Lepisosteus oculatus: one gene and its partner. The protein of the gene in region 2 interacts with the protein of the main gene of each other region in a biochemical or structural test. Links are inferred from orthologs where the notes say so. Each region holds a gene or a part of one and is shown on either strand. Other genes may lie near its edges.

Region 1 (7,835 bases), on a different chromosome or scaffold from region 2:
GGTATGTGAAAAGACAAATTCCTAATGCAAGTAATTGTGTATGGCTAATAAAGTGATCTTATACCAACTACAGTAGAAGTTAGGTTGAAATAGCACTATACTGCTAAGTTCAGTAGCTTACAGCTACAGTATAACATACAGCTATTGTAACAATTTGAAATTCACTGTGAGAGTTGCATTAAATGATAGCATGGCAGTTAAGGTAATCCCTGAGTGTAGTGAGTGGATTGGTTGGCCTTTATAAACTATAAGGGACTGAGACACTTAACTTTGAAGACAAAATTGGAAGAGAAGAGCTACTTTAAAACTCAAACTAACTACAGTAGTAGTTAATCAAAGGATAGTTGTAAAGGTGGTGTAGGGGTGGGAATGAGATGAAAGATGAATGCAAGGAGCAGAGAGGTTTACAATTGTATTTCTAGCTTTCCAGAAAGTGACATCACGGAGGAATACAAATTAAATTAGCAGAGGTGAAGTAAAACTTGGTTACTGTCATCCCTGATGAACCTTCAATAACACTCCACTTAAACACATAAAAAAATAAGAAGAGCCATCTAGCATGTTAGGCTGTTAGCAGTTTGTTGATCCAATGATCTCAACAAGCATTTTCGTGAAAGAAACCAGTAGGTACCAGTACAGTAACTACTTTCAAATTAATTCAAATGTATTGTTTGAAAGTAAGTACAGTAGGCACAAGAGAGTGACAAAAAAGTAACTGTATATCCAAGTCTATCCTAATTCAAACAGTAAGTACAGTAGGCACAAGAGGGTGACAAAAAAAGTAACTGTACAGTTTATCCAAGTCTATCCTAATTCAAACAGAACTTTAGCTACGGACCTTAGTATGATTCAAACATGGACATATTTTAAATGGCATTTTATGTTGAAAACTCACCCAGCAGAAATCTGCTTATTCCTAGTAAGGGTCTTAGCATTCTGGACCATAGGGCACAAAATGGGACTACACCCTGGGTGGGACATCAATTCAACATTGGCCCATGCATAAACACACACAATTAAGAGGGAGGAAACTAGAGCACCCAGAGAAGACCCATGTGGCTGGACGCAGGGTGAAACTCACAGAAGCCAGCCCAGTGTGGGATCAAATCCAGATGTTCTATGCTACACATGCTAAAATAAAAGTAATTTTTGACATCTTAGTCATAGTCTTACTGTATATGTGGAAGAAGCAAACAGTCAAAAAAACTTGCTAAAATACTTTTAAGTGAATAGCTGGTGGTTTATGGGTCAGCATAAATATTATTTGATAAGGTCTTAAAAATGTAATATGATGAAGCACTCCTGCTTTATACTGTATGATGGAGAAGTAAATAAGGGATTCTTAGCCACTCTTTCCTCTATCATTAGAGTGTAACATTTTAAACTTGCTCCAGTCCAAAACATTTGGTAATAGCATGCGCATTGGTAGTTTGAGACATTAGATCTTTAGTTCATGAGCCTCATTATTATTATGACCAATGTTTTTTTCTAGGGTGAATAACTGTTGCCAAAATGGCACCTTGAAGGGAGAAAGAGCAAGAGCAAATGATTATTTTTACAGTGACTAGGACATGTGAGACAACTTGGTATTTGAAAACAAGAGTTCAAGTTTGGCATGTTACTACTGTATGTGCATAATCGCTGTCTTTAAAATAAATATTTTTTTCCAGTTATATTCTTATAGATCATACCAATTCTCTTATCACTGCTCAGACCTACAAACAAGCCTACAAACCCCCAACCATACACAGGGAAAAATAAGGAAGTGTAGGCAAACTCCTCTGACAATCTTCCCCTGACCTCTCCCTTTGAGACAATCATCTTTCAACACTTACACAAGGATTTGTTTTGTTAACCCAAGGCTCAAACCCATGACACAGGGATCCTAGAGATTAACCTGAATGTAAAGGTTTTTTTAAGGAAGATGGCACCTCATCTTTAGCTGTTGTTGCAGCACAGAGCTGTAAAAATAAAAAACAAAGACACCTCAGCCTTTCTTTGCCCTACTGTCTCCTCTTAAGTATGTAAATTGGAGTGACAATTATGTTTACCCACAAAGATCATTGTTATCCCTCATCTCTTTTAGTGTCTGGATGATGATCTATGCAATTTCTGAGGTTCATTTAATGCTTTATATTGCGAAAACAGGAACGTTAACATTGGTGAAAATGCCAAGATTACTAGATTACACAATTTTCATTAATTATTTTAAGCATTCAATTAACTGTTCATAGATTTTTTTTCAGTCTCTAAATAAACAAATTAAACCTTGTTAAGATGGAAATTATGCTGTATTTTCCATACATGAAAACCATGTACTTAATAGGAATGAAATAAACTACAGGTACTTTAACAGAAAATGTACACAAAAATGTCTTTAATACTGTATTCATTACATTGCATTCCCTTGGAAACTAAATAGTTAAGCATGTTGTTTTATACCATTTAGCCATGATTGGTTTTATTATGTAGGCTTTAAACATTTATATTAGCAAATCTGTTGACTACATTTTGAAACATTCAAGGAAAATGTACTGTAAATAAATCCTATAAAACAAAAACTAACAGAGTAATGTAAAAATTGCATAGAAACAGGGGGAATACCCATAGAGACATGCCTTTCCTTATTACTTTTTCCACTGATTGAGTTACTGTAGGAAAAGTTACAGTACTTTACAAATAGCCCCCAATGCCAGGCAAAGCAATTCTATCCACAATTAATGTGACAATTACAGTTTACAATACAAATTTAACCAGAGCATAGCAATTCCAACCTTTCCACCTACCGTATGTATTATTTTATCCAGTATCCCCATGCAATAGAAAATGTGGTGGTTTATTTCCTTGTCTTATTATTTCCTGTTTTAAAAACTTCAAAGAGATGTGGCTTACTGCTCAGAAGGCTTTCTTCATTTGTCTTTTGGAGAAACAGCCAAAGTGACAAAGGAATATGCACATTTCAAAAGACAGCACAAAGAACTCCAGCTTCTAAGTACTGTATGTGTAACTCAGAAACAATACTGTAAAAAGTTTTTTTTTTCTTTTAAGACTAGTTACTGCAGTATTAGGTAGGAGAAACTGGCTTGTTGCCCAGGTTTTAACAGTGCCTGCCTTGTCGAATGCTAAATGAGGTGTATAACGGTATTCAGTCACTCTCTGCCCTGATCCTTCAAAACATTTCTTCGCTTACAAAAATCTGTTCTAAAAAAATCCACATATGGAACTTATTACTCCATTTGGTGGAGTAGAAACAGCTGAGTCCAAGACAAATATAATATGTGAGTTAAGACGTAGGCCCACATGAAGTTATAAATAGACCCCCTAAAATGTCAATTAACCCCTTGAACAATGAGCACATGAGCACAAACGACTGAAATGAAATAGTAACTGTTCAGTTTACAGCTGCTTTAACAGGGTTTTCTCAGTGGAACTAGGGAGTAGTAAATTTGACAGAATAATGAACATAGATTGCATCATCATGGAAAATAAGGGCTTTACTTTTGAAGATCATGTTCCTGGGTTTCAATGTACAAAACAACTTACTGTAATTGTGATTTAAATACTTGGAAAGGTAATGTTCATGGTACACATAACGGCTTTTGTAACTATATTGAATTAAACATCTTCATATTTTTCAAAATATTACATTTGAAGGCATGGGTACAATACGGTGTACTGTAGCTCCTCTCACCCCCTGACAGACCTGCTGCTACATTCTACAATGTTCCTCTTGTCAGCTTTAAAACTTGAAATGTGGCATCTGGATTACACAAGAGTTTTAGTACCGGATGTTACTAAATATTTAACATGTAAAGGAGGCAGATGACCTACTGTTCAGCGTGGAGTTAACCTCTGAGTGTCCCTGTGTATAGAATGAGACAATAGTGTGTTGACCCAACAATTTATGACTCTTCTAAGTTTTATGAATTAAAATATTAATCATAATATTCCAAATCAAAACAGAGACAGAGAGAGAGTAAGACATGCATAGAGAGATCATATATACTGTGGGAGGTTAACAAATGAAAAGATGCCATTTGAACCATGCAGTCATTATGGTACAGTATTTCTTTTAAAAATATTTGATAAAATACACATTACCTAAATGTAAAACACTCAAGGGCTTACAGGCAGTCCTACTGGGTATTACAGAACCAAGACCAAAAGAAGAAAAAAACTACCACCTACTACAAACTATTATTTTCAAGTCTTAATTATAAGTTTTTTTTATAGAAGGGTTACAGCTAAACTCCTTTTTTAGATCAGACTGAAAATAATACTTTTCATCCCTTGTGTCATGATTTAATGTATTTGCATATGTTTTTTTTCTCTTTTGTTTTCAGAAACTAAAAGCTCTACTTGTATTATCGGATGGAATAATACAAGATATTATTTTCAGCTGTTACTTTACATTTTTGTTACTGCTCAAACAATAAATAATAAGCTTTAGAAACCAGGATTGGTATATTGTGGTAATAATGTACAGATTTTTAAAACCTATTCTGTCAGGATGTCAGGATGTCCTTGTGATTTTAAGTAGTAATTACGATCACACGTGTATAATTTCAATAACAATTTTTCTAATCCCAAAAGTTTTGTTATTTTGTACAGCACCAATAAGAACCAAGAGGATTTATTTCTCAGTAGATTAAAATTAGACATGATTTTTTGCTATGATACTGTATACGTATTTATCTGTTTGCAGCATCTGCAGAGAGACTAAAAGTTTAAAGATTATGAAATATTTTTCAACGCCATCTGATTTACTGTAATCTTGGACTAGCAGTGGGATACTTTAGGATTTCCATCTATTGGTAGCTTTGCATGTCAAGCTTTGCTTGTCTAAGGTTGCCTGTAAATATAATTATGAAATTCACTCTGCTCTCTATTAATTATAACAATATAATTATTATTGCATAATAATTATAATTATTGTTATTACAGTAATTATAATTATGTAGAGAGGAATTATGTAATGTAAATTTAAAAATAATTTAAACATGATTTTGAAAGAGTTTGCTTTGGAAGTATCAAATAAATATTATTCTCTTTGTGTCATGAAGGATTCTGAAAAAGCACTGGATCTCACAGTAATTCAACAACAATATGCTTACAATGCATTACATTGATACTATTGGACAGACATGGATGATAAGAAGCCAGAAGGTTACAGTAACTTGAGAGAGGCTCACAAGCAATCATGTAAATACAAACTGAAATAAAATGAAAGAAAAACTTAAGAGTTGATAATTCATGTAAAAGCACTTAGATAATACAAACTTGAGCACTTGTGTAATAAGTCTTTTTTTCAGTTATCAGTAATAACCAGTAATCAGTAGTAATTGTTCATGACAGTGACTCCTTAGACCTAAAGTTAAATAATCCAGCTGCACTGCTGAAATCCAACTGGTTATGCCATCTCTTACCAGCTGTTCTGGTGGGTATGGTGTTGTTTTTGGGATGTCTGCTACTTCAAGTTTTACATCACACTGTTCTTTTACTCTTTTAAAAGTAAGGGCAAAACAAAAGCTAAGGTTTTCATCTCTTGCCCTGTTCTTTCTTCTTATAAAAAAGCCAAGTAAAACTGGGTTTTATGTAATATCAGCAAATATTCGATTGTGAAATTAGTGTAACAGTTATACAATGCCTTTGGTAACTGCTTTGATTTAAATGCTGCACACTTTACAGTACATACATGTAATAAAATCCCAAATAATATAGACTTATCATAAGGAAACAGATATCCAAGCTTGGAAGGATGCTGAAACTGAAACTGTGCTTACTCTGACAAAAATACAGTGATACTACCTGTGGCAAGATAGCAACAGTTTATATTTTGTGTAGAAGTGGTAAACAATCCAGGTGTTGTAATCAAGACTGAAAAACCATGTCTTACATCGAAAATGTTTCTTGGAGTTCCAACAAGCAGTAGATCATATTTACAGCCTGGTCCTAACATGGCCAGCACTAGGGTAGCGTACAGAGTCCACGACAATAGTATAACCTACAGTTTTTCATGAGGTATTTTCTGCCTTCTTATGTTAGTGATCCTTAAAATTACATTAGAAAACAATGATCACAATAAATAAGATATCATACAGTACCCAAAGTATCACAAACTGCACCTGAATCACCACAGCAACCGCCAAGACCTTTCAATCAGCCAGTTGCTGTGACAACCCAATCCCGATGAAAAGGTCGTCCCACCTGTGCGAGTTAAAACACCTGGCTGTTTAAGAGCTGCTCCTGTGATATTCAAGTGCTCAGTCTTAGAGATTCAAATCTGGTCTTGGCCCTCTCTGTGAATTTATGTTGTCTCCTGACTGTGCTTCTTTCAGCTTAATTTTGTGGATTTCTCTTTGGATTGCTTGCTCGAGTTTTCCCTGGTTTTTGGACTTTGCTTACACTCTGTGACCTTTGTTATGGATTCCCCGTGGTGCTTTGATTTTGAGTCTCTCTGGCTACGACAGTTGTTGGTTTTTCGATTTCAGCTCTGGACAGTTTTGCTACTGTTTGTTCACTTGCCTCAGTGGTTGCTACTTACAGTACCTGCTCTTGGATCCAGCCTTCAGCTTCAGACAAGTAAATGCAGCCTATTATAACTAAGCACTGAATACGAGGAGCTTGTTTTTATCTTTTAATTCATATGGAATGTAGAATTGTTCATGGTCAGCTCATTTTCAATTTTGCACTCTTCTAACGTTCTCAGAACAATGTTAAAAACAGGAAGGTTTCTAGTGAAATTTAGGATAATTGTGGTATGCCTGTGTACACAGCCTGCATCCCTTCTCATTATCCCCTTCTTCCTGTGTAAGTCTGGAGGAAGCTGAAAAGCGAAAAACAGTTACATAAGCACATATTCCACTCAAAAACTCAAAGATTGAACCAGAAAATGTCAGACACGTTTCTTTTCTGTCGTCACTCTTTTATCAAAGCTAAAGTTGAGGTTCAAGCCACGTCTGTGAAGGTCAACTTCCATATTGTTCATACTGGCAGTAAAAAATGATGTCTGACAGAGATTCTTTTTCCTTCTTGAAGCACAGGGCCTATTTGCTGTTAACTCAGCAGAATTCTTTGGCAGCAGTATTAGGAAATTCTACATTAATGCCTACAGCCGGTCTTCACTGAATCACAACAAAAGTTTTCTCCAAGATGGTGAAATCAATAGCTAAAGAGATGTTGTTAATAAAGACAAATCTTTTTCTTTTCAGATGTTTTAAATGGCTCAGAAATCTAGAGTATACATTATGTGTAACTAGAAATCCTTTCATATTAATTTGAAAATTGTGAAGTATAAAGCAACTAGAGTTACATCCAAGAGTAAAAAATGTCAAGATCTTTTCTTTCCAGTGCTTTGAGATGATACAGATAATGACAAACGACTCCATATAAAATAGGTTCCGGCTCTGCCATGACCCAGAATTGAATAAAGCAGTAACACAAAGGATGAATTCTACTGTATATAAAATTAAAAAAAAAGAATGAAGTCCAGCAGTGGTTTTTCACTTCTTACCTTTTATATTTTACAAGATTTGTTGTTTTCATCATAAAAAAGAAACTCAACTGGTTGGACCAACCCAGGTAACAATTATATTAATGGTTTATAAAGACCTGGATACATTTTAGTTTTGATCACTTAGGCTGGTGGTCTGTTATGTTAATTTGAGAGAAAGAAAATGTGAATAACATTCAGCCCTCATGGACTGGATTGCCCCTTTGTTAAACCTATTTCTAATTTAATTGATAAAGTGTTTTTAGAAAATATCTGAATTAGGACTATTACGTTTTACTCATTTGGACTCTCCACAGCTAGGTCACAGTATTTGAAACTGCTT
Region 2 (7,009 bases):
TGGACACTCCACTCAAAGCACTTTACAGGTAAGGGGGACTCCCCTCCACCACCAGGACACGAGGGTAACACACTTACTCTTTTTTTTTTTTTAGTCTTTTCGAGAGACGCCCTGGGATTTTTAATGACCACAGAGAGTCAGGACTTCGGTTTTATGTCTCATCCAAAGGACGGCGCCTGTTTACAGTATAGTCTCCCCGTCACTATACTGGGGCATTAGGACCCACATGGACCGCAGGGTGAGCGCCCCCTACTGGTCCCACTAACTCCTCCTCCAGCAGCAGCCTTAGTTTTTCCCAGGGGGTCTCCCATTCAGGTGCTGGCCAGGCTCACACCGGCCGAGCTTCAGGGGGTCGTCAGTTGTGAGTTGCAGGGTGACATGGCTGCCGGATAGCGATTAGCTTTGACCTTGCTCGCTAAGGAACTAAGAGCACCCAAATGATGCCAGGAAAATGGTGAAGTCAGGAAAATCACTGAACAAAGTGCACTTTCACGGTTAATCTGTAAGAGAAGACATCAGTGATCAGACTGTTGAAATCAGCCCGCAGATGGAGGCCAGGAAGTGCAAGATGAAGAAGAGGGAGGGCTCTGTCCAGGGCTAGAACTTCTTGGCAGAAGATGATCCCCCGTGATCAGGAAAGACCTTGGATAGAATGGAACGAACTGGAAACTAGGCTGGCTGATACAAGGAGATGGCCAATGTGCTGTGGGTGACCCGATGGGCAGGCAAGCACAGGGAGGACCAAAGAGACGCTACTCATTCTACACAGTTCCACAGTTATTTCAAGGAATTCCAAGAACTGTCCGGAAAATAAAAGCAAAAACGTAAAAGCGATGAGTATCAAGATTCGTGTGACAGATTAACACATTTAATGGTTCATTCTGTCTTGTTACTTGACCTATAATGGACTAGCACAATGGCATTAGCATGGTATGATTTTCCAGCATGTGTGGTTTTGATGACCCCAAGAAAGTAGGCTCTTAAAATATTTGCACATTTAGATATTTAAAATGTGATTACATTTACAGTGAAAAGTAATTTACAATTATTATTATTAAGTATTGGGTATTTATTGTAGCTCTAATGGTTTGCCGCTGATAGTGTCTTACATTGTGCTGCTTATTTCACACATGGCAGCCGCTGTTGCTGCAAAGCAAATTAAATTTTAAACTCTCAATTTATTTATGTGTATGCAGTAAATGAAAACCAAGCAAAAACACTCACAAAAAAACCCTCTTCAATGTGGCATAGGTAAATGTATAAAGAATAAATCTGAAGAAAGCAGTATTTCATTAAACCTTAAAACACATACGTAATTACGTTTTCAACATCTTTGTACAGAAATGGCATTATGTCAAGATAATTCTCCACATGACTAAAACGAATCAAATCATAATCAAATGGAATGAGGTACCATCCAGTTTCTGAAACGTCTTCCAGCATTTACATGAAGTGTGACTCAGAGGTTTAGACCCAGCAGATTAAACATAATGAAATAAAATAACATGTAAACATTTCAAGAAACAAGTTTTTGCCTCATTGTTCCAACACAGAAAAATGATACAGTTGCCAGGCTTAATGTATCAGGTGTCCAGCTAATTAGATGTGCTCACCCTGTATTGCCTTTCAACCTGGGATAAAATGTCTCCTTTAAAAATACTTAAAAAGTTTTATGTTACTGGATAGTTAAAAATTGATGAACAATAGATTGGCATGTGTTGTATTCTTGTGGAAACCATGGTGATGTTAAAATCTACCTCACCTTACATTTCCACTTCAAGTGCTCTCTGAAGGATGCCGTCTCTGTATTGGAAAAACTCCCAACAGCAGAAACATAAATTTCCTCGAAGTGGATATTTAATTTTTCTTTGAACTGCTTGTATTTTTTTGCTAAACTGTTGATGTCTGCTTGATAGTATTAGCAACACTCTCAAAGTGTTCAAACACAAGAACTAATGAATTCTACCCCCCAACGCAACATAAACGATAATTAATAACTGTTTTTTTGTATTACAAGATATAAGTTTAACATTATTATTTGTAATAGGTACAAGCTTATAATATCCATTCACTTTGAATCTGTTCCTATGGATAACTGAGACCTTTATTGGAATATATTTAATAATATAAAGTAGCAAGCTTCTAATTAATCTTAAACACAAATGAAATCTGCTACTTAAAGTGCTTCGTTTGTGTTTTCTTTGCAATTAATAACTTAGAAACAACCTTTAAGACTTATCACTTATTAAAACTTAAAAAGGTTACAATAATATTCACAGCATTTGTGTTAATTATATTCTGTTATTTAATGTTTTTATTTACTTTCTTGTGTGCTTTATACTTTTTTGTTACCTGACACAAGGTTTAAGTTTCCTCTGCAAATTCTAAACCTTGATTAAATTAAGGCCTTCCCCTGCCCATCAGTCCTCCTGTCCATTTCCCTAACCACTTTATCCAACTCAGGGCTGCAGAGAAGCCAGAGTGTGTCCTGTCAAGCAATGGGCATAAGGCACCACTCCATCACAGGGCATACAGACAGACACGCTCACTCAAAACAGGGCCAATTTACAGAAGCCAATTAACCCACCAGAATGTTTTTGGACTGTGGGAGGAAACCAGAGCCCACACGGGGAAACAAACATGCAGAGCACATACAAGCTCCACGCAGACAGCACCCCAAGACTGGAATTCAGCTTGGGGCCCCACTGCTGTAAATCAGCAAGGCTAACACACATTATAAATACAGTACATGACATCACCTTTTGAATCATAGAGTCTTTTTTGCTCCTATGTAATGGGAATCTACCATCAACACTTGGGTGCGCAATTTGCATTGTGATGAAGGGTTTAATGTTTCTATTCCGGGTCCTCGTCTTTCCAGAATCTTCCAGATGCCAGGCGCAGGTTCCGTCTTTTAAAAACAACACCACTTCGCACTCATTTCGCTTCTTATATTTGATAAAGTGCAACTAACAAACGGCTCATTAACACGTCACTACAGTGCAACTGGAATTGTGAGCTTCATTCTTTCACGCAGATTGGATTAATCATCCAAACGTTTTATCATTAAAAGCAGTTATCATTTATGGGGTCCGTGTCTCGTCAGCTGCAGGTTTAGGGAACGAACAAAAAGGCTTTTAAGGAGTTAACCAAGAGGTGTTGCACGGTCCGCCAGACACGGCATCTGACTAAGTTTCACTCAAGGTATATGTGATCCCGACAGGTTACACTTCCCGAAGGACTTCTGCTGCCAGGTGACTTGAACTACACCGGCACCGGCAGATGTCAGCTGGAGCGTCTCTGGGGAGCTGCAGCTCCACATGACGATACAAACCGATGGAAACCAGTGGTCCGGTTTAATAAAGCGCCACTGACACGGGGGCAATAAGCTACATATTATTCCACCACGGCATTAAAAAACTCATTTTTTAAAAAACGCTAGTCCAACATGGTATGCTTACTATAATACTAACTTCAGTGCTCGATGTGTTTGGCTCCGCTCGGTTAACTCTAGAACTTCTTGAAAAAGTGATCTTTACATTTCTGACCCGAAGGCATTAGGAGAGAGTCGCACACAAGAACTATAATAAAAAAATAAGCAACCATAAAAAGACCCAAAAGTCAATTACCGCCTTTTCACTCAAAAGCCACATTTACGTACACAGTACATATTATTTGGATCAACTAGCAAAAATATAAGAATATGAAAGCTGTGTGTACCTTATCTTTATTTGCCTCATTTAACCTTTTTTGTAAGATGCAACTGATGGTGTTATATGTACTCTTGTGCGTATTATATATACATCACTGCTGTTACAATAATAATAATAAAAAAAAGAAACTAAAAAAGTCACGCCTTATCTCCAGCCGCCCCGACACAGGCGGCTCACGAAGTCACCCGTCTGCAGCGCCCCCTCTCGGCCGGCCGCGGCTGCGCCTCTTCCAGTGACGTCACGGCCATTTCCCAGGACGTCTTTCCCAGCGAATTGGAGAGCCGGGGCTGCAGCAGGAAGAGGAGCACGGGGAGACCGGAGCCGGGATCTGCGGCTAGGGATCACTTAGGGAAACTTGAACTTTCTGTGTGCACAAGAAGAAGAAGAGGAAATCGCCCCGGAGGACGTTCGGAAAATCGGGACAGAGTAAGTTCCTGTACAACTTTCTGCCTGATTGAGCGTTTTGGATGATGGGGGGGATGTCGTTCAGTTCTGTCGCACTCCGGCTTTGAAACATTAAAGTAGAAGGAAAGGCTCGCCGGTAATGCTGATGCTAATGGAGGCTGTCAAAACACAGGAAGAGCTGCCACTTCATTTAAACTCCCTTCCAGTCCCACAAGCACAGCGACCCGGATTCTGAAAATCCTGTGGTTTACAAATCCAAGCGTGGGATTTCTTTACTTGGTGAATTTGCATATCTTGCAGCGTGAGTTATATTAATTGCACCGCTGATAATATTGCCGGGCAGTAAATACAGATAAAACTAGTGTAAATGTGTCTGTCGGTCGCTTGACTTGTTTTTTTTCCTAGATCCATCCTCTTTTCCTTTATCATCATTTGTATTTGGGTTATCGGTAGCAAAAAAAAAAAAAGAACCGTTTTATTAAGCGTGAACTTGAGTAAATCCTCGGATCCTAGCTTTTTCTGGGCTGTGAAGAGTAATCCGAAGAAATGGCACTTGATTTGCTCTCTGATTTTCTTAAGAGGTTTTGGATATGGGAAGCTTGACAACTTGGAAACTTACACCGCTACTGATACGGACGCGTGTATGAATCTACCTGAGACGATAAAATATGGAGGAGCAGGGCCTCCTGACACCAAGGAGAGCTGCACTCGAGTTAAATAACTGGGTAGGAAAATCGGAGGTACAAAGGTTGTGGCTGGTAACTAGATGCAGGAATGCCTGAAGGCGTTTGCCATTAGCTTTTGAGATACGGAGGCAAAAAATATTACGTCTCGAGTTAGGTCTCACGCTGCGTTCTTGCTGAAGTGAAACTTTAATTCAAAGTTTAAAGCAGATTTTAGGAGTAGTAGTCTGAATTTCTGACACACGGAAAGTTGGAAGAAGCACCCGCAGGAGGTAGGGCCCCTAACCTAATGAATGGTTTGTTTCTAAAATGAATGGAGAAATCGTTAAGGACAGCCTTTAAAAGGTGCAGTTGACTACCCTTACGCATACTGTAAAAATACTTTGCAATGAACTTGCAGGTAAAGTGGGATTTTAAGTCACGACGCACTGCTATTAAACATTGACTTTTATTTTAAATGTATGCTGTTGATTTTAACCGGTGCCCACCACGTCCTACATTTAAAAAAAGATTTTACATCTAAAATAACGATTTCCTGTTAGGTAGTATTGCTTAAAATCACTTGGACTGCTGTGATTCAATGATAGCAAGATAACTATCTTTCCAATTCACTGATGAATGAAATTGGAATGAATGACATACGTCTAAGACCGCATAGATCAGTATTACTAGTACATATTAGGTGACTGGAAATTGGTTGAAACTTATTGCCTTCAATTACGTTGAATTGTATTATAATTCTGAGCAAGATGTAGCTTTAACATTTAATTAACTTTTAGAAAAAATAAACATTTGTCTAACTGTACGTCTTGTGAAACACCATTATGACTTAACCTTTGTACTGCAAGAGCTATGAATTGTGTGCAGCTGGAATCTTTGGTTTATGAGTGATGGCATAAAAAGTTACACTATGTAACTAATTCTTGAAAATGACATTGTAATACGTTCCTTCAAATCCATATCTTTTGGGTATCATTTAACCATTAGGAATAGTTTCTTTTGCAAATGGTGTGCAGTGGAGTGGAAAAACAGCCTCAGGTTCAAAGGGCTGCTAGTACAGAGTAGGGACTTGGTTAACTATTTCTATAAATATGCAGACACTTCCTGCCAGCGGTGGTTTTACAATTCATTAAGAAACCTTGAGCCCATTTGAAGACCACAGTGCAGAACTGTACGATAAAACACAAACTGCTTTATTCGGTGTAGGAGAGAGAAAGTAAAAACCATAGAAATGCATGACTTAATTTAACGGCAAGATAAATTTAGCTATGATGCATCATTAGACTCTAGGATCTAATGAATGGTGTCAGTGCACACCCTTGGCAAAGAGTGAGTTCCACTTTACAGCACAGTATTGACTGCAGAGGAAAGTTGCAGGGTGAAGCTCATCTCCTGATTTTAACACGGGCATCGGTATCAACCAGGGATTCCAGTTGATGGAGCTGTCCACCCAGCTCCTCCCAGTGTTATTATAAAGGGAACGACACCTCCTTATCTCAGGGCTGATTCCACATGCAGTGGAATTTGGACCGTGTCAAACATTTCCGGGATACACATCTGTGTATTACAAAGCTTGATAAAAGGTGGGGATGTCCTTAGAAGCGACAGTTGGAGAGGAGTGTTTGTTTTTGAAGTGCGGCACCTCGAACTTTTCTTCATCGTCATAAAGTGGAAATGGAGGTTTTTCTGCTTCCAATGCTTATAATTCATTAGTGTGGTTTGATGACATTCATCCATTTTCTAAACCGCTTTGTCCAGTACAGGGTCACCTCTGGATTGGACACCAGTCAGCTGCAGGGCTCACTCAGACCAAAAATATACACCCATTTACACCAGGGCTAATTTACAGAAGCCAGCTAACCTTCCAGCATGTCTTTGGGCTGTGGGAGGAAACCAGGGCACCTGGTGGAAACTGATGTGAACATGGGAGGAACATAGAAACTCCACACCGATGGCACCCTGGGAATCCAAGACGCTGTACCAGCACTACGAGGCAGCAGTTCAAACCAATGTGCTGTTATGTCTCCCTAGTTTATCCACAATTGCCTTTATCTGTATAGTTCCATAATTCAAGTGAACCTATTAGTATACTACAAAGGAACAAGAAAAGGTTTATTCCATGCTGAAAAGAGAAACGCAAATGCAATGTTTCGGCTGTGGAGTCTTCTTTGGGTGTGAAGATTTTGAAACCCGAAGAAGGCTCCACAG

The links.
Region 1: the proteins of myo6a (region 2) and dab2 form a complex in vitro, tested with the Homo sapiens proteins (7 studies listed by BioGRID). The link is inferred for Lepisosteus oculatus from reciprocal best matches to the Homo sapiens genes MYO6 and DAB2.

Annotation. Positions count from the first base shown.
Region 1 is NC_090698.1:23,189,058-23,196,892, reverse strand, and holds the start of dab2 (disabled homolog 2), read right to left. Parts: upstream 3,003-7,835; 5' UTR 2,787-3,002; intron 1-2,786. UniProt on the Homo sapiens protein: Adapter protein that functions as a clathrin-associated sorting protein (CLASP) required for clathrin-mediated endocytosis of selected cargo proteins.
Region 2 is NC_090697.1:9,138,193-9,145,201, reverse strand, and holds the start of myo6a (myosin VIa), read left to right. Parts: upstream 1-3,993; 5' UTR 3,994-4,139; intron 4,140-4,948; exon of another isoform or gene 4,949-5,073; intron 5,074-7,009. UniProt on the Homo sapiens protein: Myosins are actin-based motor molecules with ATPase activity. Unconventional myosins serve in intracellular movements. Myosin 6 is a reverse-direction motor protein that moves towards the minus-end of actin filaments.